7 linked regions of the Callithrix jacchus genome follow. The protein of the gene in region 6 interacts with the protein of the main gene of each other region in a pairwise test. Links are inferred from orthologs where the notes say so. Each region holds a gene or a part of one and is shown on either strand. Other genes may lie near its edges.

Region 1 (4,277 bases), on a different chromosome or scaffold from region 6:
CAGGACAGTGATAGCCCCTTCAACCCCAACCCATTCCACAGATCACAGGACTGAGCATTGGAGAGTTAAGGGACTTCTCCAGGGACACCAAGGGGTAGTGTCCTTGAGTGACCTGGGTCTTCACCTGCCAACATGAGCCCCCCCTTCTAGCCCCTGGGGAGGCCCTGCCTGTGCCGTTACTTTTGCTGGGAGTCAAGCTCCACGTTGGTGAAGAGGTTGGGGTACCGGCGGGCAATGCTGTTCCAGTCTTTTTCCAGCCGAAAGCCCTGGCCAGGAAACAAGAGGCACATTTCCTCCCAGACCACACACGTGGCAGGCCTAACTCACCTCCCCAGTGGGGGCCTGAATGTTCTCAGAGAGGTCACTTGGGTCCATCAGAGTCCCTGCCATCACCACCTGCCAGAGGGGACCAGAGGCCAGTGGGCAGGGACTGGGGCGAGTGGCACCCTCCCCCACAGCACCGCTCCTCTTTGACCACACCTGTACTTTGAGGCCTCCTGATTCCTCCCCGCTGGAGCCTGGAGTTCCAGAGGCAGCCTGAGCCCGGCAGGCTTCCAGGCAGGCCAGGGCCCCCAGCAGAGGTACCCAATGGGAGGGTGAGGGCTGGGGAGGGTGGCTGGGGCAGCGGGGCTTGCGCTCACCTCCACACTGCCAGTCTGGGATTGCAGCATGCGGCCCACCCACGAGGAGCGGGCTAGCTGCAGGAGGCAGGACTTCTGGAAGTTCTGCAGCTCAGCCTCTACCTCCTGGAGCCTGCGCGTGGTCTCCAGCAGCTGCTCCTCCAGGTACTCCTTCTCCTGCTCCAGGAGGGCCTGTGGGTGAGAGGCCAGCCCTGGCCTGGCTCCCAACACCAGGACCCCGCCCACTCCCTGTGCCCCCACCTCACCCACTGGGCTTGCTCTTTCTGTTCCTTCAGCTGCAGGGTCAGCTTCTGGACCTGGCTCTGCAGGAGCCTCTCCTGACTGTGGGAGCTCCTGGAGGAGGGATGACCTCAGCAGCCCCCAGCCTGCTCGTGCAGGCGTTCTTAACACCAGGTCAGTGGTGAAGGAGGGGCACCACGGCCATCTTGGCCCCAAGGGCAGACAGTACAGCTGCACTGGGGCCGGCCAGCCACCCACGGGTCTGGGCAGGGGCCTGGCACCCATCCACATGTGCAGGGCTGGGGTTGAAGCTGCAGTGTGTTAGCTTAGGGTCAGGGTGGAGGGTCGGCGTGGGCAAGGACAAGGGAAAGGATCTGACTCGGCGGTTGGGGTTGGGGTCAGAAACCAGGAGTCCGGGCCAGGACAGGGCAGGGTTGGGTTGGGCTGGATGCTGTGCTTCAGACCTCTTGGGCGGAAGCCCCGCCACCTCCTGCAGGATGTGCCAGAGCCGGGTGTCCCGGCCATTCCGGACCGCCCACCGCAAGGCCTGGATCTCTAGTTCTCGCTGCCCCCACAGCAGCCGCAGCGTGCGAGGATCCAGGGACTCAGGAGCCAACCTGCAGTGACAGTGTCCCCCGCTTCTTGCTCAGGCTGGGCCCCAGCCATCTGGCCCAGGAGCTTCACCACTTTTCCCTCCCATCCTTACTGCGGGTTGGCAGAGCAGGCCACCCGTGTCATGGAAGTCGCAGAGGCTGCAGGTGTGCCCGCTGGAGGTCCCAGGTGACCACTGACCGACTCTCGGTCTGTGGAGGACGAGAGAGCCTCCTCCTTGGCTTCTTCAGCCCCGGGGCCAGACTTGGGAGCCATTCGTGATGTTCTTTGGGAGCTGGGAGGAGTGGGGGGGCCAGGTCTGCTGGGTGTGCTTGTGTGGCCACATTGGGGCCGCCCAGCGGTGGCTATTTGAGGAGCCCCAAAATGGGTGTCCACACTTGTGTGTTTCTGACCTTTGCCAGTGACGTGGTGTCCTTCTCTTTCTCTCTGGTCTCCCCAGCTCAGGACCCCACCCCCAGCACTCACCTGAGGCCAGAGCTCCAAGCAGGCCTGGGAAGGAAGGGCTCTATACCGTTGCCCTGGATACCAGCACCCAGAAGGGGAGGGGCTGTTTGTTACCTGGAGGCTCCAGGGAGACCCCAGACCAGGCCCCTGGGTGAGTTCTGAGCCAGCCCAGGCTGGAGGAGGTGTGAGAGACTGAGCCACTGCTCAGCTTGGGGTGGCGGGGAACCACTTAGTGGCCAACACCCTCAAACTGAGGGAGGCCTCAGCACCCCCTACCCAGCCTGGTGGCAGCAGTGTGACACATATGGGGCATTGCTGCCTGTGAGCCAGGCCAGCATAGCCATGGGTACGTGGGGGACAGGAAGCAGACAGGTAACAGTGACAAGCTGGGGACTGGTGAGGGCTAACTTACAGTAGTACACCCCACCCACAGCCTCTTTTTAAATTAATAATTATTTTTATTTTTATTTTTTTTGAGGCGGAGTTTCGCTCTTGTTACCCAGGCTGGAGTGCAATGGCACGATCTCGGCTCACCGCAACCTCTGCCTCCTGGGTTCAGGCAATTCTCCTGCCTCAGCCTCCTGAGCAGCCGGGATTACAGGCCGCGCCACCATGCCCAGCTAATTTTTTGTGTTTTTAGTAGAGATGGGGGTTCACCATGTTGACCAGGATGGTCTCGATCTCTTGACCTCGTGATCCACCCGCCTCGGCCTCCCAAAGTGCTGGGATTACAGGCTTGAGCCACCGCGCCCGGCCAATAATCAATTTTTTAGAGACAAGGTCTTGTTTTGTTACCCAGGCTGGAGTTCCTTGGTGTGATCCAGCTCATGGTAACCTCGAATTCCTGTGCTCAAGTGGTCCTCCCACTTCTGCTTCCAGAGTTATTGGGACTACAGGTGCCTGCCTGCACCGCCAGGCCGGGCCCACAGCCCCTTCGACCTCAATGACCAGCACTCACCCGCAAGCTGGAAGCCTCACCTTTTCCAGCCATCTCCACACCCTCTGGGCCACCCCCAGGGACCCCTTTGGGCATTGCCATTATCATGACAAGTATTCCCTCTCCTCCTGGACAAAAGCGAGGCCAGACCTGACCCAAGCACTCCAGCCTTCGCCCTCCATCTCTGCAGCTTGTCGGCTGGGTAAGGCCTCCCTAGAGGAGCACAGGAGACAGGCCGGCAGGAGGCCCCTCCACGCCCACAACTCGTTCTGAGCTGGGCAGAATAGGCAATGAATGGCGGACCACGAGGCTGCGGACCCCGGCCGGGACAGCAGGGCAGAGGAGCGGCTTCCAGCCGGCTTCGCTATGCGCCAGGCCCGGCCCCGGGTCCTAAAGGGCAGGCAGGTGTCGGGGAAGAAGAGCCTCAGCCCGGGCCCCGGCCTTCTCCCGAGCGCGCACCTCCCGCACCAGGGCTCGGCGCCCACCAGCCCCACAGGGCTCCACGTCCCTAGCCGGGGACTTGTGACCTGCTAGCCTGAGACCCCTGCGCGTCCAGGCGACGGCGGCTGCGGGGGCCGCGAGGGGCGGTGCTGGCCCCGCTGCCCCCGAGCACAGGTGGGGTTTGCGGGAGCCCAGGCCGGCGACCCTCCCTGGGCAGGAACCCACCACACTGGAAGGCGGCTGAGGAAGTCCGCCCAGGAGCGGGGCCAGACACCTGCCCCGACGCGCCGCCCGGGGGGCCGCAGCCGCCGCGTTTCCGCGTACCTCGCAGGATAGGGGATGGGGGCCGCATCTAGGCCCCGCCCTCTGGCCCGCCCACACCTGGAGTTTCTGGGGGCGGGGCGCGGCGACGAGCCAATGGGGCGGGGAGGGGCGTGACGGAGGTAGCCAATGGACGAGGGCTGGAGGGCGGGACACCCGCGCGGGTAAGCCAATAGGGGTGCTGGAGGGCGGGGCACGCGGGCCGCGGGCCAATGGGGGCGCGGGGTCGGGGCGCGCCGCGGCGCTGGGGGCGGCAGGTTGCGGCGGTGCCCGAGCGGGTCGCGAGGCTGGCGAGCGCCCAGGTGAGCCGCGTCGGGTCCCGGGGCCTTCCGAGTGCGGGGCTTGCTTCGAGCCGGCCGGGCACCAACTCCAACTGGGGAGCGTTTTCCGCGAGGCCCGGGCGGGGGGCCGAGGGCGGGGGCGTCGCCGCACCTGCGCCCACCCGACGGAGCTGGGACGCCCGGGCTCCCGCCAGGCTGGGGTTGTGGTTCGGGCATCGGTGCCCGCGGCGGAGACCGGGAACTTCGGGGCGAAAGGAGCGATTGGGCGGCGGGGCTCCCTGGGTTGGCGGAGGCTGCTCAGACCCGGAGTCCGCTGGATGCGCGGGGTCGAGGTCTGGGTCGCGACCCCGAGCGCCGCTGCGGCCTGAGCGGGTCCGGGTG
Region 2 (4,068 bases), on a different chromosome or scaffold from region 6:
TGAAGCTAATACAATAACATTAAGGTTTGCTCCAGAAATTTGTAATGGTATGGTTTAAAAGTGATTTTTTTCGGAAGTATAACATAGTTTCCTCATCATCTGAATGAAAAAAATTCACTGTAGGCGGGCCAAGAGATCACCAGATTAAGAACAAGTGTTGAAAACAATGGATTTTGTTCTAACTAAACAAGTCTAAGATGGCACTGCTGGAAGTCAACCTTGATTTTCCACAGCACAAATAAAGGTCACAGCTTTGTATCTCAGCAATTGTCAGGAGTTTTAGTTTTTCAAGATTACATTGTATGGGGTAGTTGGATTTAGGGAAACAGGACACAGTATCTGGAGAATAAAAACAGAATTATAATTGCAAGAGCAAAATTATCTGCCTTGAATTTTGTAGCACTTCATGTTTTTTTCAAGGTGTTTTCACATAAATGTTGATTTTTATCTACATAACAGCCCCGTGAAGAAGGCAGTTACTACTAGCAAAATCGTTTTCAAAATTTTAAATACCGAAACCATGAATTAAAAAAAGGACAGCGAAGTTGACAGCATTAGATAAATGACAGAAAAGGTTGTGGGTGAGGAAGCAAATCATCGAAATGGCAAACATAAAAAGCTGAGGCCCAGGGGACCGCAAACCAGAAGAGTAAGGGGCTAACCTGGCACGAGAGAAAGGCTTTGGTGGGGAAGTGTAAAGAGGCCGGAGCGCAGGTAAACTGGGGTTAGGAAACTGCAATTCACGGCAACAAAGAGGATGGGGTCAAATTTGAGAAAAATGAAGTCAGGTGGCATTGAAAGCTGCGTGGAAGTTTGTGAGCTTTATTTCTGCCCCGATGAGGAGTGATCTTTCACAGAGGAGGGTCCCAAGAGCGGAGGCTGTGTCCTCCTTCGGTTCCCCATCAGCAGCAGAGGGAGAAAAGCCTCGAGAAGTTCCCCAGGCCGATGACCCCCACGGGGGCTCGGCCCCAGGGTGAGGACAGCGCCGAGGTGAGTCCCGGAGGGCGCCGGCGGGAGGCCAGCGGAACTGGCTGGTGCGTTCCCGCCGGGCTAACAAAGGCCGCCGGGAGGTGAGGGCTTCTCCAGCCGCTCCAGCGGTCCGCGGGCGGCGGAAGGGTTAACTGCGCCACCGACTCCCGCGCGCATCCCGGCCCCCACCTCTGTCGTCGCTTGGAGACGCCGGAAGTGGGGGAGGGGCCGGCGGCGCGGGCGAGGGTGGGAATCTTTTTCGGGCGCCCGGGGGCGGAGAGAGGGGAGCGCGCGTGCGCGCGCCCGGCCTGCCGTCGCCGCGGTGACCGTCCTCGCAGTCCGTCGGCTCGCGCCCCGCCCCCGTCGCCCCCTCCCCTGTCGCGCGCTGGGGCTGTTTCTCGCTCCTCCCGAGTTACCGCCGCCGTCGCCGCCGCTCCTCCTCTCCCGGTCCTGGGTTTCCCTGGCGCTGCGGCCGCCGTTCCCTCTGCGAGCTGTATGAGGAGGAGGAGGAGGAGGATGTGAAGATGGCGGAGCTGCAGATGCTGCTGGAAGAGGAAATCCCGGGGGGCCGCCGGGCCCTCTTCGACAGCTATACGAATCTGGAACGGGTGGCCGATTACTGCGAGAACAACTACATCCAGGTGCGAAGCATCCCCCGCTGGGGCGCGTCCGGCCTCGGGTGGGCGGTGAGGGGCGCGTAGGGGACCCCCGAGTGGGGAGCCGCGCGCCTTGGGGCGTGGGGCCGAGACCGCTGCGGGGACATGGCCCGGTGGAGACCCCAATGGGGGTGGGGAGCTGGGTGAGGGCTGGGGCTGGTGAATGGGTGGGAATCCTCCGGCTGGATAAACTGCATCTTTAAAACCTATTTAAAAGCGGTGAAGCAGTCCTAGGCTCGGTGCGTGTATCGCGTCCCGCCTCCTCGCCGCTCCTGCCCTCGGCCGCCCCCGCACTCCGCGCGGGTCAGCGTTCCGGTTGGCGGAGGGGGCGGAGAGTGGCATTTTCTGTTTGACGGAATCCTACTCCCCCTTAGGGTAGGGGTCTCGCGGGCTTTGACGGGTTACCTCCATCCCCCAAATTCTGGACGATTTTTAAGCGGCTATCTTGCTGCAGAGTGAAGTGCTTCAGACTTCAGTTTTCTATTCCTGTGAATGCTTCAAAAGCCCTTAATATTTTATGTTCTAAAGGGGATACGGTGGAAGAGCAGCGGTCTCTTGTTGAAAGTTAATGCCGTTTTTCTCCCTATGGAGAATGATAATCAACTGATTCCCTCCTCCCTCTAGTCCCGTTAGAAAATTTTCCTGGGGGTGGGAGGAGGACGGACTATTACTGTTTCTTAGAGAGAATTGGGAAGATAAACCTCCTGGTTTAATTTTTTTTTTTTTAATACCGTGATGGATCGTTTGACACAGGGCTCACAGGGGTAGCGGCGTGTGTGTGGAGGCGGCAGATATTGGGTGACATGTGATCCAGCTGCTTCTGGATGAAGCAAAATATTCTGTGGATTAAAAAAAAAATCCTTCTTTAAAAATCACTTGAAAGGATAGCAGGTTAAAATGCACAGTTTGCAAAATCCAGCATCCTTTGCTTTTTTTTAAAAAAAAGATTTTGAATTATGGGTTCTGCCTCCATTTTTTTCTTTCACATTTAAATTCTCTTGGGATAAAGGTGGAGATGGAAGCAATATGTTAAACTGTTTCTTCACAGTCCTGTTTTTTTTTTTTTTTTTTTTTCTTGCTCCCACCTCCATCTCTCCAGGCATCCTTTTTCTTTTCTTTTTGAGACAGAATCTGGCTCTGTAGTCCAGGTGGGAGTGCGGTGGCCCCATCCCATCTGTTCTCACTGAAACTGGTCTCGACCTATTCTCGTGCTTCAGCTTCCCGAGTAGCTGGGGCTACAGGCGCACGTCACCACAGCCGGCTAATTCTTGTATTTTTAGTAAAGATGGGGTTTCACCATGTTGGCCAGACCAGTCTCGAACTCCTGACCTCAAGTAATCACCCACCTCGACCTCCCAAAATGCTGGGATTACAGGCAGGAGACACCTTAACATCAGATATATAGGAAAGCATTTTCATGTTTTAGTGTAAAATTTTAAAAACAGATGTTACAATTTTATTGGTTCATAAATTTTGTAATGGCCACATTGTTGATTACAGTAGTGAGATTTTGTGATTAGATATTGTTATCTTGTAGACAACATTTGTATTTGAGAATGTACCGCAGTATAAACCTGTTACCTCGAAAGACACAGTTGAATATGGCTACTAGGAAAGAAATGTAAGCAAGATTAATACAAAAAAATACAAATGTCCACTTGTAAGGTACTTTGCTGATTCAGAGGTTCAGGCCTGGGTGACGAGTGAGACTATGTCTCAAAAAAAAAAAAAAAAGGTTTAGTTGCTCAATTTTTCGCTAAAATTGAAGGTCTTTTTTGGCCTAGAACTTCGTGAGGGGTGGATAGTACATACCTAGTGTCTACAGAGTTTCATAGTCTAGGTAGCAGGAGAGGCTGATCTTGGAGGAAATTAATATGTTAAATTTACACTCCGTAGTGCACTGCTGGTACCAAGGAGGACTGGAGGAAGCAATGCTGTTCTGAGGGAATTCACAATCTTTTGTTTTTTTCTTATTCCCTCCCAATATTGCATTATTTTTTTTCTTTTTGGAATTCACAATCTCCAGGAGAGGCAAAACCTAAAGGACTGAAGTGGTAATCCCATTGCCTTGTGCAGCATATTATGGATAGGGAGTTGCAGGTCAGAAGAGAAGTTGAGGGTGGAAAACTGCATTGAAATTATTACCAGTAAGAAATAAAATAGCCAGGCATGGTGGCTCATGCATGTAATTCCAGCATTTTGGGAGGCCGAGGCGGGCACATCACGAGGTCAAGAGATCAAGACCATATGGGCCAACATGGTAAAACCCTGTTTCTATGAATAATACAAAAATTAGCTGGGCATGGTGGCACGCGCCTGTAATCCCAGCTATTCGGGAGCTGAGGCAGGGGAATCTTGAACTTGGGAGGCGGAGGTTTCAGTGAGCCAAGATTGTGACATTGCACTCCAGCCTGGTGACAGAGTGAGACTCCATCTCAAAAAA
Region 3 (3,500 bases), on a different chromosome or scaffold from region 6:
AGGATTTCTGGGACATTGGAACATACCTTTCCTCAAAAAAGTGGCCACTTCCCATTGCTTTTTCCCACACTGCCCTTGAGTGTTGAGCTCTGGGCTCACTGACTCACGCCTGGACGTTGGCATGACCACGGTGAGCGCTCATCACTGCTACTGCTGCTGCCACCTCTGCTGGGAAGTCATTCCGATGCTCCTGCACTTTCACTGCCTCAAAGGCAAGCACCCAGCACTTAGAGCTTACTTTCCTTGAGACTCGGGAAGAAGCAAAAATAAAGTACAGTTAAAAATTTAAAATTTAGAGAGTCTTTTTCAAGAGAGCAGCTTCAAACTCAGTGTCAGATTTCATGAATAATGGATGTGTTGATAGACTCAACGCTCAGCAAAAAGAATAGAGCAGCCTCTGACCATCCCCTTCTAGACACAACCTAATCTGCCTTCCACTTAACAGGCTTTGTTGATCTGTTTTCCCCATTAGCTAGGTTTTCAACACTGCACTAGGTTATAATGAGAGGAAATTTTTTGAGCACATGCACACTAAGAAATGGTAATTAATTAGTATCATCACAAATGCTCCAGGCCCTTAGTCTTTCTCTTGGTAAAAAGAAAGTAAAAAATGTGTAATGTGCTGGGAGTAAAAAATGTTTTTACTCAAAACAGAGCCTATTCCTGTGCCCTCTGTTCCAACATCCTCCTCATTTCTTCTCTTTTTCTCTGTTGTGCAAAAAGACGTTGTGTAAAAAGGTGGTCTGAAGACCTTCAACAAGGTCTCAAGTCCATGACTTGCTGCCCCTGTGATATGATGCTCCCTGACCTCAGTTTCCTCATCTGTAAGATGAGAGTAACCATCTTCAGGCTGCCTGGTCCCGGGTTATGCTGCTGTGAGGCTTGGCAGGGAGAGAGTAGGCAAAGGCACATCGCGGGCCACAGAGCCTCTACAAACTACACGGTCTCTGCCACTGTGTTGGCAGGAAGAAGATGACTATGAAAGTCCCAATGACGACCAGGATGGAGAGGATGACGGTGACTATGAGTCCCCCAATGAGGAGGAAGAGGCACCCGTGGAAGATGATGCGGATTATGAGCCGCCACCCTCCAACGATGAGGAAGCTCTGCAGAGCTCCATCCTGCCTGCCAAGCCTTTTCCCAACTCCAACTCCATGTACATAGGTAAGGGCCCGCTTCCGGATTCTCTGGCCCCAGCAGCCTAAAGCCAAGCTCCCCACTGCTGCACAGAAGGCCGATGGCCCAGCTTGCCCATGTAGGAGAAAGCTCTGGGTGCCGATACCCGCTCGGCTTCTTAACAGCTATGTGGCTCTGTACAAGTAACTCTACCTCTCTGGGCCTCAATTTCCTCATCTGTGAAATAGGAAAATAACATACAGATCACGTAGGCTTGCTGTGAGAACTGCTAATAGTGCAGACAACTCCTGCCTGTGGTGGCTGGTATCAGCATTGAACTACCCCACCTAAGGCTATTTGGCAATTTCAGCTCATTCTGTGGTTTACTCAGGTACTCCAAGAGTGCTTTCCTGTTCTTTCCCATCTTTTGATCAAATCATAGTCACATGGTATTAGTATGTTAGAATAAACATGAAGATATTGAGTAGGGTTTGATTCTAACTTTAAAAAATGAGACGATATTTATGATTTTTATTGTCTCTCTGTCCTTTTAGCCCCCTCACCTCTCCATTCACTCATTCAGCAAACACCGTTGATCTGCTGGAAGCCCAGGCCCCATTCTAAGTGCTGAGAAACAATCAGGAAAGATGACACAGCCCCTGCCTCCTGGGGTTTACATTCTAATAGTGACCTTGACAGAAAATAAACAAATATATACTTGTATCATATACTTTCAGGGAGTAAGCCGAAAATTGAAGATCAGTGCCACAGAAAATGAATATATTTAATCTTTTATGCGGTATAACTCATTTCCATTTTAAAGCCCTTTCACAAAATGCTGTCTCAATATGTCATGGTGGTTTTTTAACGCCCGTGTAATAAGGACAACCGTGATCAAGCCTGTTTCATATATAGAGAAGCAATGAATAAGCCAGTTGTTGAGTGCCTTGTGTGTGCCTGTCATTAAGAAACAGAGTGAGCAAGACAGTCTTTGCCAAGGGACTGACAGTCCAGTAGGTGAGGCAGCCTCTAACAAATGAGCCATGAGATTACTTAGTGAAACCGTGACATAGAGGCAGGAAGACAAGTGCAGGAGATGAGGCTGGGGCGTTTGCCTGAGGGTGTGATCTTTAACTTGTGATATTAAACTGAGATTAAAGGATGAATGCAAGTTGGCCAAGTGGAAATGGATGTGGTAAGGGAAGAAGTTTGAAGCAGTAGAAATGGCCGTGCAAAGGGCCTGAGGCTTAAACGAGCATGGCCTATTAGAGAAGCTGAGAGATAGTCATTGTGGGTGGAGTGGGGTGAGATTAGGTCAGGCTGGGCCTTGTCCTACCCTCATCTCTGTGGAAGAGCCACGCCTCTCCAAGCCTGGGACTAGCGTGAGGCAAGAGAGGCACCCAGGGCACAAAGCGTAAGGAGGTCCTTACGCTACATCTGTTCCCACTCACCCCTCTTGCCTGATGGTCTTGTCCTGGCCTTTCCCCATCAAAGGGGTAGGAAATTGCCAGCCTGTCAATCTGGCCTAGGGACACTTCCTTGACAATCTGGATAATATGAGTTTCTGTTCAGATAATGTGTGTTTCTGTTCAAGGCAAATCTAGCTACCACTTAAGAGTCTGTGGTCTGGTAACAGAAGTAGGTGACCAGCTCCTCCCTTTATGGGAAGAGATGAGCAAAAGGAGGATATGTCAGTGAGGAGACGGCCCAGGGCATTGGAGAGGGCAAGGAAGGGCAGCCAGAACAGGATCCGTATGGGTAGAGAGAGCTGACTTTACCCTACATAGGAAGCTGGGTGTGCCTGTGGGATTTTTTGCATGTGTGTGTGTCTGTGTGCACACGTGTCTCTGTGTGTGCAGGTGTGTGAATACATATGCATGTGTGTGTGCACGTGCATGTGTGCACATGTGTATATTTGTGTGTCTGCATACAGAGGTATATGTGTATGTTTACTTCTTTACAAAACTATCTGAAAATGCTCCCTTCCAGTTCAGGCTGAGCTATTTACAAAGAGGACTTTCTTGATTGGTAAAATCACTGATTAATACCTATTCCTGTGAAGTGCAAAGGAAGCTGAGCCTGTGTAGAAGAAGAGTAACACGAACTGGGACAGAAAAACGGGCCGGGAGGGGTAGGTGAGATCCAGGCTGGGTCTTGCCGTGGCTAGGGTTCCTGCTGGCACTGATGGTACTGGGGTTCGAGGATCATGCACCTCCCCCCCGTGCCCTGAGCTACATCTGTTCCTGCAGACGCCTGAGCTTGACCAACACTCGCCTTTCACCTTAATAACCTTGTGTTTCCACAGACCGGCCCCTCTCTGGGAAAGCCCCCCAGCAGCCTCCTGTGCCCCCTCAGAGACCGATGGCCGCCCTCCCGCCCCCGCC
Region 4 (4,031 bases), about 38 Mb from region 6:
ATTTTCTCTTTCCCTGGGTAACAGCACAGGAACAGTAGTGCTCTGCCCGTAAGAAACATTTTCTTTCCATCCCTCTGTGCTTTTGCAGTTGCTCTGGAGTGGGAGGGGGTGTGTCTCTCCTAGGGACCGGGCTCGGGGACCTCCCGCGGCGCCAGGAGCACGTTCCCAGGGACTGGGTCTCCCGGGACTGCCCGCGCTTTGTGCTCGGCCGCTCAGGGAGGTGGACGCCTCAGCGCCTCTCTCGCCCAGGCCCCCGGCGCGCCCCTCCGGGGGCCAGACTCTGGCTCCTCGTTCTTTATTCCTCGGGCTCTCTTTCTGCGACCCTTAGGAGCCGGGGACTCCGGCGCTTTCAGTTGCATCCAGACCCAGTCGCTTGTAGGGGCGCTCAGATCCCCGGTCCCTGGCTCGGCCTTGGGGGCGCCCTTGGGCCCCTGCCTGCGCCGCCTCCCTCTCCCCTGTCCACTCTTTCCAGGCCTCCCGGGCTCCTAGAGACCCGGGAGCTGCCCTTCCGGACCTGCAACCCTCCAAACTTGGGCTGGATTCCGCGTTGCCGTGCGCTCCCTCCCGCTTCCCCTCGCCCGCTGCGGAGCTGTAACTTGGAGGCTCAGCTCTCAACTTCGGGTGATTTTTCTTTGCTGTCTTCTCCTCGGGCAAAGTTTCCCGAGCGCGGCCGCGGGCTCGGGGCTTTCACTTCGGCCCCTGGCGTCTGCACGCGGGGAGCGAGCGCGGCGGCGGCGGGGAGGGGAAGTGGGTGTGCGTACGGAGGAGGGTGTCCGGGAGCAACTCTACCTGGCTTCCCTCCGCCCGCGCTTCGCCAGCCCGGGGCTGCAGCCTCCCCGTGTACTCTCTCTCTGTTTTTCTTTTAGAATAATCTTTCATTTTAGGGTCCGCGTGTGTGGGGGGGAGCAGGGCGCACGTCTTGCTCCCCCCCACCCTTTCCACCCACCCCTGCCACCCCTTTCTTTTCTCCCCGCCACGCCACCGCGGCGGCGCTCGCTGCGGCCACTAGTGAGCCCGCGGCCCCAGCGCCCCCTCCCCTCCGCCTGCCCCTCCCCCGGGGGCCGCGTCTGGCGTCCGCGGAGCCCCCCGCCCCGCACCTCCCCCGCCCCGCACTGGCCATTGGCTTGTCCTGGTCTCTTTTTCATGTCCAGCCCCTGATGTGTGTCCATTGGTGTGAGCTTCCCCTTCCCTCCTCCCCTTCTCTCCTGCTCGCCCTGCCCATGTTTTGTGTGTCTCTGTCCATCCAGACTCCTGACGTTCAAGTTCGCAGGGACGTCACGTCCGCACTTGAACTTGCAGCTCAGGGGGGCTTTTGCCATTTTTTTTCATCTCTCTCTCTCTCTCTCTCTCTCTCCCCCTCTATCTCTCTTCTCTCTCTCTCTCTCCTTTTTTTTTTTTTTTTTTTTTTGCTTAAAAAAAAAAAAGCCATGACGGCTCTCCCACAATTCATCTTCCCTGCGCCATCTTTGTATTATTTCTAATTTATTTTGGATGTCAAAAGGCACTGATGAAGATATTTTCTCTGGAGTCTCCTTCTTTCTAACCCGGCTCTCCCGATGTGAACCGAGCCGTCGTCCGCCCGCCGCCGCCGCCGCCGCCGCCGCCGCCCGCCCGCCCCGCAGCCCACCATGTCTCGCCGCAAGCAAGGCAAACCCCAGCACTTAAGCAAACGGGAATTCTCGCGTAAGTAACCCAATAATAGTAATAATAATTATTAATAATCACGAGAGCGCGCAGGACTAGAAGCAAAAGCGAGGGGGAGAGAGGGGTGTGTGCATACATTTTTAAATTTTTCACAAGAAAAACCTCCAAGAGTCGAGGTAAAAGAGATTAAAGGGAGAAAAAAAACCTCATCCCATCTCGAACCATTGCCATGTATGCACTTTTGAGACAGCACGCACCTTTTAATTTTATTTAATTTTACAAAAATTTGACTCCTCCTCTTTCCTCCTTTCCGCCGCTTTATTTCTCTTTTCGAAAAGGAATGCAATGATTTCCCACCCCCAGTTTTGCAAAATAATGAACAATGCTAAGGATGCGAACTACTCAATGGCAAACCTGGGGGTGGGAGCTGGTGGGGAAAGGGAGGTTGCTTCCCACTCTCCGTAAGAAAATGGGGGGAGGGAGTGAGTGAGTGCAAGTCTGAAAAACGATTCCCGGGGAGAAAAGAGGTGAGACTGGCCTTTGGACACCAGCGCGCTCACGGTCAAGTGTGCAGCGGGAGGAAAGTAGTCATCCCACAATAGTGAGAAAGTGGGACTGTGGAAAGGGGCCCCCGGCGCTCCCGAGTCCGCCGAGTCGGGAGAGGGGTCGTGGCAACGGGGAGAGCCGTGGGACCGGGAAGGACGGGAGACGCGGCCGGCACTGCCGCCTTTTGTTCCGGCTCGAGGTGGGTGTTTGTCCCGCTGCCTTTTGTGCCGGCTCTTCGCGCTTGCCCTCCCGCGCCGCCGCCGCCGCCGCCGCCGAAGGGCAGGAGCCAGGGCCCGGGGAGGAGGCGGCCGGGGGCACGCGGGAGAGGGAGGGAGGGAGCCCGGACTGCTGCCGCCTGGGTTGCCGCTGCCCACCCCTCCCGACCCAACCTCAGAGGCAGCAAGGAGAAGACTGGCACATAAATACATACATAAAAATAAAATAAAATAAAACAAGACAAGAGAATGTACAATTTCTTGCCCCCAAACCAAGGCCAGACGCTCTGCCAACACTTCTCTGTGACGGTCTTCTCTTTGACTCCCCCACTACCCCCCCCCGCAAAAATCTCACAATCTCTAATCTGTAAAAAAATTTACAATCACCCCGTTCCCCAAAATCCCTTCAGTTGCAAACTTAGGGCGCCGGCGGCACGGAGAGGGAGAGAGGAACTCCCTCCTCTTACTATTTTTTGGAAGATTTTCAAAAAAAGTGGAAGTGGATTTTGATTGGGAAAAATCTCGTGTCTGAATGTTTACAAGCACCGCGTGTGCGGGAGCCTCCTGCCAACAAACAGACAGAGGACCGAGCGCGGCGCGGCAGCCCCGGAGCAGGCAGCGGTGGCGGCCTGGCCTCGCCCGGGCCTTGCCGGACCTCGCTGCGCCCCAACCCAGCCCCGGATCGCCCACCCGGCGCCCGCCGCCCACCCGCCTGGCACGGCGGCAGGCCGCGCAGTGACTCCGCGCCAGCGTGGCCCGCGATCCCAGTCCGCCCTCAGCACAATGCCCAGACCTCTTCTCGACCTTCCAGACTGCGAAATCGGCTGCGTGAAACCCGGCTTTGCAAAGGATTTTTATTTTGTAAAGCAACTGTAAAAGCGCGTTCTGCGGCTCCCCTCCCCTCTGCCCTGGGTACTCTCTCAGATGTCTCTTGTCCACAGCTCCGGACTGCGGGGAGGTCACCACGTGCTTTCCCTGCCCCCACACCTCCCGCTCAATCTGGCCACCAGCCCCCCTGCGCCTGAGCACGGCCAGGCCAGGTGGTGGGGGTGCCGGGGGAGGGCAGGGGAGAAGTGTGTTTGAGTATGCATTTTGAGGGTGCTGGATCCTGGGACCCCGAGCACTTCACTCTTTGGGTCTTGCCCTCTTCCCAGGGCCTGGCTGGGTCTAAGGTTCTTGTGAGTTTATACAAGAGGTGGTGGTGCTGGCTGTCTCCCGCTGGCTGACTGCGCCTGGAAAGGCGGGCGGTGGGCACTTAGGAAAGTTTGGCAGCAAGGGAAAGAAAGGCGTGAGAGGGCGCACATCCCCCCCGCTACCCAATTTATGATTCTTAAATTTTGGATGCAGTTTTCAAGGACCAACTATACTTGGTTTTGTGTTTTTTAAAGGGGTGGTGGTAGTGGGTGCGCCTAGGGAATTGAATTTTTCACTGGGCCCTGGAACTTGTCACACATTTCGGAAGCTCCCCCGCCCCGGCACGTTGCGGGGCCCTCCCTCTTCCCACCCCCGCGCATCCCTCCCTCGCCTCTCTCCCCCGCCCCCCACTCCCCCGGCCGCGCCGGATGCTGATCAGACGCGGCGCGCGGCGTTGTGAAGTTACAGCCCGGCCAGGTATCGGCGGGAAGG
Region 5 (4,014 bases), on a different chromosome or scaffold from region 6:
TTCTTTCTTCTTGAGTTAACTGACTTGAAACAAAAGGCTTGGCGCTCCTCCTTCCAACCTGCTTTTCTTCTAATGCTTAAGTCTGCTGTGAAATAATGATGGTCAATTAACTGTGGTTCCATTGGAAGTACTGTAGTAATCCCCCACTTTATCACGATTCGATGCCTAAGATACATTAAATGCAATATATTTCTGTAATATTCTTAAAGAATTATTTGAAAATCGGAGAGAAGAGGGAAATGACACTAGGGAAGCTGAGGAACTAAAAGAGGAAAGATGCCTGAAGGAAGAAAGGAGAACCAAAGAGAAGCTCTATATGATCAGATACCAAAATAGCATCAAATCCCTAAGCAGAGAAACAAGAAAAAAGAAGGAATTTCTTAAACAGGGCATACATATAGCAACTAGAGAAGAATGACTTTTTGAATACATTAAACGGCAAGAACGAAAAACATCGTAATTCAGCTTTTCAAGAACATCTTTTGGCTGACAATCTCAAGGTGGTGTATGGCTTCTCATGGCAAAGGCAGAGGTGAGGAGAGAACATCCCAGAAAGCAGGATGTTGCCAGTGATTGTCAGATAAATACAAGAAGCTCAGGGGAAAAATCTTTTGTGGCAAATAAGTGCCAGTCAGTGACACATGCTGATTTTTTTTTTCCTTGAGACGATATCTAAGAGGTATAGGGAGGAAAATCAAGTGTAAGCATCGGCCTTTTAACAAATTATTTTAGGTAATCTCAGTTGATTTTAAACGACTCCTGTTTCCTAATGTGTGATAATTTCATCAGAACTACTCCTAGCCGTTCCTAAGTCCAAAGGGAGAGGAAAGCAGCATTCAGTGCCTGTTCCTTCCTACGCCTTGCAGCTTCAGGTCACCGACTCCAGCCTCAGTCAGTCCGGAGGGCGCCAAGAGGAGAAATATGTCCTCACGCGCACCAGGTCCCCAGATGACCCTGCCCGGGCGCTGCATTCACGCAGCATCCTCCCGTGACTCTTCCTCTTTCGAGTAACAGCCAGTTTTCTCCTCTCTGCGCCTCCTCAAATCCATTCAGGAAAAAGCCTGGGCTTTCAGCTACGACCCGACTCCATCTCCGCTCTGGGCGGCCGCCTCTAGGGGGGCGCGGGCGTCTCCTTGCCGCCCGGGGAATAAGTGCGCCCCCTCGTGCCCCCCGCCCCCCGCGCGCGCCCGTTGCCATGGGAACGCAACTCGGCCAGAGAGACCGAGAGAGAGGCGGGAGGCGGCGGCGCGGCAGAGCTCGTGGGAGACGCTATCGCAAGATGGCGTCTGCGAGGCCACAGGATGCGGAGTGAGCGCGCCCCGCCGGGGACTGTGCGAGGCTGCTGCTCTCCCCGCCGCCGCCACTGCGGCGCCGCCTCTCCGCCTGCCACTGCGCCGCTACCAAGCCTCCCGCCTCGCAGGTACCTCCTCCCGCGCGCACGCTCCGCGCCGGATGGCAGCGACAAGTGCCGGCCCGCGGAGAGCTAGCGGGGCTCCCTGGGGATGGTGCACCAGACGATAACGCGTGAATAACTTTTTCTTGCAGCAACCCTCGCTTCCCGGCCTGCAGCCTCCCAGAGCGCCGGCGCCCCCGGCACGCCCCGTCGGGCACCCCACTCCCTCCGAGGTGTGAGCGCGGTGGGCCGATGAGGTGATCCTCAGCTGGCCTGGGAGGAGCGCGTGGACTCGTGGGCGGCGGCGAGCGCCTTTACAATGGCCCTGACCCTGTTTGGTAAGTGCAGTCGTTTCCCCGTGCGCAGGTGGGCCGCGTCCTGGGGCTCGGGAGTGGGGGCCTGGAGGGCCCGGGCGCCGGGGGAGGGGGCACGGCGCGTGGGGTTGGGGCGGGCCGGGGCCGCAGAGTTGGGGTGCCTGGGGCGCCGGCTCGCTCCCTCGAGCCTCTCCCATTGTTTCCACTCCAGGCAGGGCCGATGGGCGTGTGCTCCCCTGGCCAATTCTAGGCTGGGAGGCTCAGAGGTCCTGGGTGTTTTGCAAACGCTAAACGATTCTCTAAGATGCCAACTTGGGAGTGAAGTTAACTGGTTGTTTTCAAACCTGCCTTTCCCAAGTCGGTAAATAAAGATCCTTGGAAAGTTTATTTATTTTGAACGAGGTATCTGTGCTTCGCCAGCCTCCTTGGAATTGCCAAATGCATGCGTTGCTTCCTGTTGGATTATTGGGCGATTTTTTTCTCTTGGACTCAGTATATTACGTTGGAAATAATGATTTGTGAACTGGTTATTGGTTAAAATTTTAAATGTTTGCGCTAACGAATGAGAGCAGACAGAAGAAAGTTCGTTACCGGAATATAGCTGTAATCTCAGGAGAATATCTGAGTTTTTATTAGGAAAGAAATGTTACTTTTGTGATGTAATTACTGCAACACTGTTGTTAGTGGGTAAGCCTTCAAGGTATTTGTCAGTGCAGTAACAATGGGTTGGGAAAAAAGACTGAAAAGATACATTATTTCCTCTTTCAAAACTGGACTATGATACATTTAGGTACTTGACTTTAAGAAAAGTCAGTATATGAACATTTAGACGTTCAAACTATTCACGTTTTCGAAGAAGCAAAGTACAATGATATGTAATTGATAGCTACAAGAACAATCTCAATAAGTTATTCACAATATCAAGTTTCCAGTTCAGTTTTAATTATGTCATTTGATCAAGCACTTTAGAGGTGATATGTACCTCAAATGCTTTTTGATGTAAATACCTTCCAGTGAATTAAGCTGCTGGAATCAAAGTGTTACTTTTATTTAACCATCTTATTCATAAATTAAACGTAGTGCTAGAGAGGTTATTTCCCAAGGTCACATGGCTCTTTTGTGGCAAAACTGAGTCCAGAATCCACTTCACCAGCCTTCAGTCTGGGATTGTGTTTACTGTGTCCAAGTACATTATTAGAAGTGACGTTGCTTACTTGGTGATGATCCTCCATAGGTAATTTTAAAAAGTTTCCTATTTTTCTGAAAAATAATAAAATGTCCATTGTTTCCCAGTACCTTGGATCTAATCTGCATTATTTAATAGCTACATTTTCCTTAAATGTAGACCTGTTTGATACAAAAATTTTCTTTCCTAAATAGATATTTGGCATTTTCAAGGTTTGTTTTCAGAAGTAAGGTTTACAAGTCAACATTTCAAATACTCACATTCCTGATGAATAAAAAAAGATAAATTGGGGGTAAAAAGCCTCTTTTAAAAGGATTTCTAAATTCTAAATCTTTAACCACTGAGGTGAAGATGAGGAATGGAAAAGCATGGAATGTAGCCTATAGAAGAAAGTGTAAGAAATCACCCCCAGCCTTCAAAATGAATAATGTATCTTTAAAATTTAAAAACCTACTTATGGGAAAATAGAATTCAGTTTACAATATCCAGTTTGTTACAATGTGAACGTTTCTGTATTATAAGGCAAAGCACTCTTGAGTGCAGAGGCTATTTTTTAAGTAGTAATAGAGCAGCAGCTGTTTTTAAAAGTGGTTGTACACCACTCATCAGTCATCTGCGATGTCTGTTAAAAATGTAGATTCTTTTGCCCAGAGACATGGGGGAAGGGGATTTTAAAATGACTCCCTTTGTGATTCTTATGCTCACTCAAGGTTGAACACTATTGTATTAAAGATAAATAATAGGAGATTAGATCAAACTTACCCATTCAAAATAGCTTTTTGTGTATGTTGAGAGACGTGCCCAAGAGTTAGAAGAAATGGGTTTTATTTTAGATTTTACTACCTTTGATTAGTTTAACTTCTTAGTCAGAAGTGCCTCATGTCCCTTTCTGTTTACTCTTTATGACCAACTTAGAACAGAAGAGCCATGGAGCAATAAAGTTCTGTGAGATGATAGTGAAAAGAGGTAGACACAAGGACCTAACCAGATCAGTGGGATTTGTCAGAGCTCAGCAGAGTTAAGGCCTGAGGCTCTCCAGAGTAACCACTGCCAAGGCCCTCTCTTGGTTGATTAGTTAGCACAGTCCAGCAGCAGAGTCTAGTCTAGTTATTTGCTTTGTG
Region 6 (3,500 bases):
GGAGTTTCACAAATTAAAACTTATTATTTCAATATACAAAAATGTGGCAGTAGAAAATGAAAACACACAAGTAAAAAATGTGAAGCTCTTCTCTAAAAATGACTCCTGCTCTGCAATGAGCATTCAGGAAATGCTGCAGTAATTACTCTCCCATGATTGAACCAGAGTTTTCCCAAGGATAAATACACATAGAGCCTCGTCATAATACTTTTTTTTATTACAATATCCAAAAAACTGGGTATGCAAGTTTAGGGGATCTCAAGACCCCTTCTTCAATTGTAGGAATGTGCCATCTCAAGACGGTATATTTAAACTATAAAGAAGTTCAAATGTAAAGGAAAAAGAAAATGCAATTTCTTCATAAACATTCTGTGTCTCTTACTACCAATCACATACTCTTCTGTAAACCCTGAAAATTTTCCCTGTAAATAATATATATATAGTGTGTGTGCGCGCGTGTGTGTGCGTGTCTGTGTGTGTGTATAAAGTGTAGGTAGCTCCCTTCCCCAAAGATCAGCTGTTTTCCTTAATCATCTGTATTAGTGTCAACAAACAGCTACAGATACATATTTCTTTGAGAATTAAATACATAATTGTGAGATTCAAACAAGCCAAAGGGCAAGAGGAAAAAGCACTATGTGGATGGCACATTTGGGGTAAATTACCAAAACATCTGTCTTTCTGAGTCACCGGTTCCCTCTTTTGCAGACTGCCTTTCCAGGAAACTCTTTATTGCAAGCACAGCCCCAAAGGCACTGGGCAGTCTCCTCACTGCCTTCGCTCCCGGTGGTTCCAGTATTGCTATCAGCAAACATGTTGGCTCCCTGCAGAGTCCGGGAGCCATGTAAGGGCACAGGACACGGGCGAGGGCTGCTAGGACTGGGGCCATTGCACCTGCTCTGCCCAGCACGTGGAGGGCCCACGACGCGGGTGCCGCCGCTGAGTGGCCTGAGGCTCGCTCACGCGCTCACAGGTGCCCCGTGTCTTTGTCATGAGGGGTTCCGTGAGTGGGAACGAGTTGAATGCACGAGTGCCGTTTCCAATGGAAAAGGAATATCGTGAACTCGCCCTGCTCCTCCCCTCCTCTAAAGCTGGCCGGGCTGGGCCGGGTGGGCGCGAGTGTGGGTGAGGCCTGGATGGCGAATGGGAGACAAACCGACCAAGCGACCTGAACATAAAGAGACTCGCTGGGAAGCCGTCGGGGCCGTCCCCACGGGAGGAGCCTCTGCGGCAGGGCCGGGCGGTAGCGCCACCAAGAGGCGAGTGTGGGGCTGGGGCACCGTCACTGCAGGGCCCTGACGAGGTAGAGCTTCTCCCCGTGCTCACTGGTGAAGATGGGCGCCTTTTTGTAGTGTTCCACCAGCTCGTCCATGGTGTGGAAGCGCCGCTGCCCAATGCAGTAGACATTGTCCACGAGCTGCACCTTGAAGTGTTTGTTCTTCCCTGACGCTTTAAGGGACACGGAGAAGTCGCTGGGCTGCGGAGGAAACACAACACAGTTACAGCCGGGCCAGAGCTGGGAGCTCCTGTCCAGCACGGGGAGGCCCAGGACGTGGGCGCTGCCGCTGGGTGGCCTGAGGCTCGCTTCACTGACTGTGAACCCTCTGGGCACCTCCATCCACCTCTCCTGCGTGTCTAAATCCAAACCACCCTTTGTCTTTTTTTTTTTTTTTTTTAATTTGAGATGGAGTTTCACTCTTTTGCCTAGGCTGGAGTGGAGTGGTGAGATCTCGGCTCACTGCAACCAACCTCCATCCCCGGGGTTCCAGCGATTCTCCTGCCTCAGCCTCCCGAGTATCTGGGTCTATACACACCCACCACCACGCCCCGATAAATTTTGTATTTTTAGTAGAGACAGGGTCTCCCCATGTTGGCCAGGCTGGTCTCGAACTCCTGACCTCTGGCAATCTGCCTGCCTTGGCCTCCCAAAGTGCTGGGATTATAGGCATGAATCACCGTGCCTGGCTGGGTCTCTGTTTTATATCTAGAATGGCATCTGATGTTCAGAAAGACCTGGAGGCAGTCCATGATTCTGAAGTTCTGAGCAGAAGAAATGTTACACTCTGCTTAGCCCAGTTTCAGTGCTAAATGTGTTTTAGTTATTTGAAAAGTGCAAACTCATTATGGAATATACAGCACCTCATTATGGAATATACAGTGCTGACCTGACTGCTCAAGAAATCTGTCATTTTTATTTACCAAACTATTTTTTGATAAACCTGGAATTTATTAAGAGTGGTTTTTATGTAGGCAGTAGCTAGAAATATTACTTCTTCTGATGTCTAACACTATTAGAAATTAAGACATCAAAAATTTTCTAATTCTAAGCATTTAAAAATATAAAGAGCAGTGGAAAATTCTGGTTGCATTTTAAACAGTTCACAATCTCCCAGAGGAAGCTGAACTATGGTTTGATTACAGATTTTACTGAAAAATATTTAATTCTGTGATATGTCAGTGCCTTAGTTATATTTCAGAATATTTTAGAAAGATGTCTTTATTTTAATTAAAATGGGCCTTTTATTGACTGGGTGCAGTGGCTCACGCCTGTAATCCCAGCACTTCAGGAGGCCAAGGCAGGCATATCATCTGTGGTCAAGAGTTTGAGACCAGCCTGGCCAACATGGTGAAACTCTGTCTTTACTAAAAGTACAAAATTAGCTGAGTGTGGTGATATGCGCCTGTAATCCCAGCTGAGACTGAGCCATTGCACTCCGGCCTGGGCAACAAGAGCGAAACTCCGTCTCGGGGGGGGAAAAAAAAAAAATTAGCTTTTTTTTTTCCCCCCCCCGAGACGGAGTTTCGCTCTTGTTGCCCAGGCCGGAGTGCAATGGCACGATCTCGGCTCACCACAACCTCCGCCTCCTGGGTTCAGGCAATTCTCCTGCCTCAGCCTCCTGAGTAGCTGGGATTACAGGCACGCGCCACCATGCCCAGCTAATTTTTTGTATTTTTAGTAGAGATGATGGGGTTTCACCATGTTGACCCGGATGGTCTCGATCTCTTGACCTCGTGATCCACCCGCCTTGGCCTCCCAAAGTGCTAGGATTACAGGCTTGAGCCACCGCGCCCGGCCAAAAAATTAGCTTTTATCTCATTTGCTGAACAGCATGCAGGAAAGAAGATAATGAATGACAAATGTTCTTTACAGAAATATCAAGTTTTGATCAATTAATTAAACAACAATTAGTTACTAACACATGCCAGGCAGGCTGTGCCCTGGATACATCTGTGCGCACATGCAGGATATATGCTCCGTGATGATCCAGTGCATATAAATAGAGATGGCTAAATAGAGGTGGACAGATGGCTGCACAGGGCAGTAAGTTCTATGAAGAAAACCCCAGAGTTGCATGGGAGAGGAACATGAGCTACCGGAGCTATAAGTGTGTGAACGTGTGCATATGTGAGAGGCAGTATGTGAGTATTAAGAGAGAATGTGTAGCGTGTGAGTTTATGTGTGTACACACACAGGTATGAGATCTAAGTATGTGTATGCA
Region 7 (3,500 bases), on a different chromosome or scaffold from region 6:
TTACTCAGATCACTCAAACTTATGCTTGACTCTGTAAAACTCTAGTTTCTCTGCCTTTTTTTTTTTTAAGAGTGCTGATGAAACAAAGATCTTGGACAGGGCCTATAATTAGGTAAATGTTATGAAGTAGTCAATTTAGCACCTACTTTTGACCATCAGACTAAAGTATTTGTAACATGCTTCACAGATTGAAAAAAGCAAATATCACCTTTGAGTACATGTTTGAAGAAGTGCCGATTGTAATTAAAAATTCACATCTGATTAATGTCTTAATGTGGGAACTTGAAAAGAAGTCAGCTGTAGCAGATAAACATGAATTGCTCAGCCTTGCCAGCAGGTAAGTGGCCCTGCCTAATGAAAAGTCTGTGTTTTAGAACTTTTTGCAAAAGATTCTTTCACATAAACTTTACCTGTGAAACATGAAAACAGTTACTTAAGAACATTTATACGTTCTTAAAATGTGTGTTAACATGGAGTAATAGTCTGGCCCTGTTAGGATCTCAAGAAAAACGGCAAACTGATAACATGAAACAACACATTGTTTAAATACTAATTGCTCGAATTAGAAGAACCCTCTGCTGTCGTCTTTGCTGTATCGTTTGTGCTTTGATAAGGTCAGTGCCCATGGGGGAGGCTTTTTTATTTGGCTCAGCTTTATTTCTTATACAGGATCCTAAGAGGCTTAGGGTATTACATCTGGATATTTAATAATGCTCAGGAAAAGAACAGAATTCTTTCACCGATTGTACTTGCCCTTGTTCACATATAGACTCAGTTGTAAAATTCCAGTTGTTTGCATTTTCCACTAAAATTTGAATTTTCTGAACCTGGTACTGACTTTAGCTGTCTTAGTTGGTGACATGATTTCCTCCAGCATGACTGCCTTAGCTCTCTAGTTGCTGACATAATGTTTATTATGTTTTTAAAATGCAGAGGTTTCCACAAAGAAGTATTCTTCCCTTTGTGAAATCCATGTTTATTTCCCTCATCTATTACTCTTAACAGAAATGTGAATAGAGCCACAGGTATCGCTCCTTAAATGCCCTTTGAGCCTCATGTCATCTATGTTGGTTGGCTGAAAGAAACAAGTTGTATTTTCTTAAGCAGTTAGTTTGGAGCGGACTCAATTATTTATTAGATTTCTAGTTATCCTAAATAGAGACTTAAAAAAAAGTACAGACTTTGTACTTCCTCAATACAAGGCAAGTGGAATGAACTCAGAAGGACCAGAGACATCAATGTTCTCCATGCTGTAGCACAGGTAGGACTGTGGTTGAAGTGCCACCTTCCATTGCATTAATTGATCACACAGGCCACTCACTGGACTGTCTTTACAGGGCAGGGATATGGACGATGAATGTAAGTGGAGTGCTAAGTAACACAGCCAGGTTGCAAGGCTAATTTGGCGCCAAAGAGCGTACTGTTTGACTGCAAACAAGTATTCATAATAGTCCTTTAATTTGTCTGTTTTAGAAGGTCATATTTTTCTTTATTGCTTTTAGAAACACACTCGGCACACCTGTATTTAAAGCATTTAGCTAAGAACCTTTTTCAGTATACAAGGTTACAATTTGATGTATTAAGTATATAGTCATATAATAATTTTAAATTTACTGCACGAAAGCTTTTGCTTATATAATTTATGTCTTCACCTTTTCCCAGGCTTCTTTATAGAGCATACAAAACAAATATATCCCTTATGGTGCTTTTAACATTACCGGTGAGCTGCTCTATAATGTCCATTTGTCCAAAGCGGCATTTATAATAGCCAAGAAAGCGTTCTCAGTTTGCCCTAGCAACTGGGACCTAGAGAAATATTTTATTATAGTTTTTGTCTTCTGTGTTTTTATGTAAATGAGGAAAAGAGGCCCTATTTCTGTGCTTTCCATGTGAAATTATTTAAAGTGTAAATTGACGTTCCTGTTAGGAGGGAAAAAATAATGAAGCAACCTTGAAGCAGTGCTTTTGTGCTTGTAGACTCTTACATTGAACCAAATCGATTACGTTATTTTAAAAGACATACATTTTATACATGTCGGTTTTTAATTTCTAACAGTAGTTGTGTGATGATGGCTCAGGCCAGTTGCCATGAAAGTTTCTGTAAGCAATCTCATCAGAAATCATTCTTATGCAAGTCCTAAACTTGGTCTTTCCCTTCACAGCCTATACATGGGCACCAGTTTCTTTGATGTGCCTGATAAATTTGTTCTGTGCTATGTCTAAAACTTACTGTATTTGCTTTTGTTAAAAAATCTAATTTTTTAATTTTATTAGATGGAAGTCCTAGTAATAGTTATTCCATAGCAAGCTTTATTAGTTTTTAAAAATGTGTAGCACAGGCGTTCAGCTTTTCACATGTGTAAAACAATTCTGTTTTTATTTCCTCTTTTAAAAAAAGTAAACTAAGGGTGGGTATCATACATTAAGGATTATAAGCATAAATTGATACTGTAGCCAGAGCAGACTTAACACTTCATGTCCTGGTTCACATCTGTTTAAGTTATCTGTTTTCAGTTCTTCATTTGCTTGGCCAGAAAAGAAAAGGCAACGTTACTGAAACTCCTAACAGTAAGTCCCTGTTTCAGCTTCCTAGTTAAACTGGTGCTGAAAAGATGCCCACAAAATTGGTCTTGGTAGTGGTCTGATTTTCTGTCAGTGTTAATTTCTGTTGCCCTTTTCTCAGATTCTTTTTTTTTTTAAGATGGGGTTTCACCATGATGGCCAGGCAGGTCTTGAACCTCTAACCTCAAGTGATCCACCCACCTTGGCCTCCCAAAGTGCTAGGACTACAGGCGTGAGCCACCGCGCCCGGCCCTGTTGCCCTTTTAAGACCTGTAGTACACTGATGTTTTTTTAAGTGTTTCTGATTGGTTATGTTTATGAAGAGCATCATCATAATATAAAAGTTAATGAAATCCTTGAAGTCCACATATTTGTACTTGTATCAGGGTTCTTTCAAAATAACTTCATATACTTGCAGCATATATTATTAGTACTTTATATTACAGACTTTTCGGGTAGAAACAGTGGGTCTGTTTTAGTAGTGCCTTTCTCATCACTGTAACCAGCCTCCAAGATTTAAGGTCTGGGTATAAATAGTAGATTTTTCTTTGCCTGTGGTAGTGCCTCTTTTTTGCTGTTGTTTTTTCCCCTCCTGTCACCACTTTCCTTTTAACCTCCCAGCCACAGCATTGGTGATGATCTTTTCTTTCTCTGTTTTCCTTTTGCAATTAATGACAAATGACTTAACAATTAATCGTGTAGCTAATGACATTTCTTATACTTAATGTGCTCACGTTGCTCATTGGTAAAAATGAAAAGATCAGTAGCCTGAGGCCAGTGCCCCTTGTCCTCTGCCTGCTCAGGACTTCATTAGGTTGGTGTATTCCTTCCTTCTTCATAGATTTTCCATTTCTTTCTATGCTAGTTATTTTTTATTATCTTTATTGGCTTGTTCTTCAATTAAAAATTTATTTTTACATGTTCGACTCTTTAGGCAA

What was found.
Region 1: the proteins of NCK2 (region 6) and RASSF7 interact in binary tests that used the Homo sapiens proteins (3 or more experiments, as listed by UniProt). The two-hybrid records come from large-scale screens. The link is inferred for Callithrix jacchus from reciprocal best matches to the Homo sapiens genes NCK2 and RASSF7.
Region 2: the proteins of NCK2 (region 6) and ABI2 interact in binary tests that used the Homo sapiens proteins (3 or more experiments, as listed by UniProt). The link is inferred for Callithrix jacchus from reciprocal best matches to the Homo sapiens genes NCK2 and ABI2.
Region 3: the proteins of NCK2 (region 6) and LCP2 interact in binary tests that used the Homo sapiens proteins (3 or more experiments, as listed by UniProt). The two-hybrid records come from large-scale screens. The link is inferred for Callithrix jacchus from reciprocal best matches to the Homo sapiens genes NCK2 and LCP2.
Region 4: the proteins of NCK2 (region 6) and BCL11A interact in binary tests that used the Homo sapiens proteins (3 or more experiments, as listed by UniProt). The two-hybrid records come from large-scale screens. The link is inferred for Callithrix jacchus from reciprocal best matches to the Homo sapiens genes NCK2 and BCL11A.
Region 5: the proteins of NCK2 (region 6) and CHN1 interact in binary tests that used the Homo sapiens proteins (3 or more experiments, as listed by UniProt). The two-hybrid records come from large-scale screens. The link is inferred for Callithrix jacchus from reciprocal best matches to the Homo sapiens genes NCK2 and CHN1.
Region 7: the proteins of NCK2 (region 6) and EIF3H interact in binary tests that used the Homo sapiens proteins (3 or more experiments, as listed by UniProt). The two-hybrid records come from large-scale screens. The link is inferred for Callithrix jacchus from reciprocal best matches to the Homo sapiens genes NCK2 and EIF3H.

The regions. Positions count from the first base shown.
Region 1 is NC_133511.1:131,332,673-131,336,949, reverse strand, and holds the start of RASSF7 (ras association domain-containing protein 7), read left to right. Parts: upstream 1-1,477; 5' UTR 1,478-1,566; coding exon of another isoform or gene 1,567-1,746; intron 1,747-1,911; 5' UTR 1,912-2,067; intron 2,068-2,795; 5' UTR 2,796-2,859; coding exon 2,860-3,055; intron 3,056-3,519; coding exon of another isoform or gene 3,520-4,112; exon of another isoform or gene 4,113-4,277. Other genes in the region: LMNTD2 (lamin tail domain-containing protein 2), read right to left, coding at 181-266, 642-797, 887-974, 1,325-1,477, 1,567-1,746, 3,520-4,112. UniProt on the Homo sapiens protein: Negatively regulates stress-induced JNK activation and apoptosis by promoting MAP2K7 phosphorylation and inhibiting its ability to activate JNK.
Region 2 is NC_133507.1:124,617,724-124,621,791, forward strand, and holds the start of ABI2 (abl interactor 2), read left to right. Parts: upstream 1-1,268; 5' UTR 1,269-1,493; coding exon 1,494-1,610; intron 1,611-4,068. UniProt on the Homo sapiens protein: Regulator of actin cytoskeleton dynamics underlying cell motility and adhesion. Functions as a component of the WAVE complex, which activates actin nucleating machinery Arp2/3 to drive lamellipodia formation.
Region 3 is NC_133503.1:62,517,721-62,521,220, reverse strand, and holds part of LCP2 (lymphocyte cytosolic protein 2), read left to right. Parts: intron 1-965; coding exon 966-1,164; intron 1,165-3,421; coding exon 3,422-3,500. UniProt on the Homo sapiens protein: Adapter protein primarily involved in signaling pathways within T-cells, as well as other immune cells such as platelets, mast cells, and natural killer (NK) cells.
Region 4 is NC_133515.1:53,588,596-53,592,626, forward strand, and holds the start of BCL11A (BCL11 transcription factor A), read left to right. Parts: upstream 1-1,231; 5' UTR 1,232-1,491; coding exon of another isoform or gene 1,492-1,567; 5' UTR 1,568-1,599; coding exon of another isoform or gene 1,600-1,628; coding exon 1,629-1,683; intron 1,684-2,136; exon of another isoform or gene 2,137-2,171; intron 2,172-2,173; exon of another isoform or gene 2,174-2,389; intron 2,390-3,976; exon of another isoform or gene 3,977-4,016; intron 4,017-4,031. UniProt on the Homo sapiens protein: Transcription factor. Associated with the BAF SWI/SNF chromatin remodeling complex. Binds to the 5'-TGACCA-3' sequence motif in regulatory regions of target genes, including a distal promoter of the HBG1 hemoglobin subunit gamma-1 gene.
Region 5 is NC_133507.1:54,443,039-54,447,052, forward strand, and holds the start of CHN1 (N-chimaerin), read left to right. Parts: upstream 1-1,214; 5' UTR 1,215-1,420; intron 1,421-1,545; 5' UTR 1,546-1,712; coding exon 1,713-1,731; intron 1,732-4,014. UniProt on the Homo sapiens protein: GTPase-activating protein for p21-rac and a phorbol ester receptor. Involved in the assembly of neuronal locomotor circuits as a direct effector of EPHA4 in axon guidance.
Region 6 is NC_133515.1:15,959,019-15,962,518, reverse strand, and holds the end of NCK2 (cytoplasmic protein NCK2), read right to left. Parts: intron 1,478-3,500; coding exon 1,283-1,477; 3' UTR 197-1,282; downstream 1-196. UniProt on the Homo sapiens protein: Adapter protein which associates with tyrosine-phosphorylated growth factor receptors or their cellular substrates. Maintains low levels of EIF2S1 phosphorylation by promoting its dephosphorylation by PP1.
Region 7 is NC_133517.1:80,780,821-80,784,320, forward strand, and holds part of EIF3H (eukaryotic translation initiation factor 3 subunit H), read left to right. Parts: intron 1-187; coding exon 188-337; intron 338-3,500.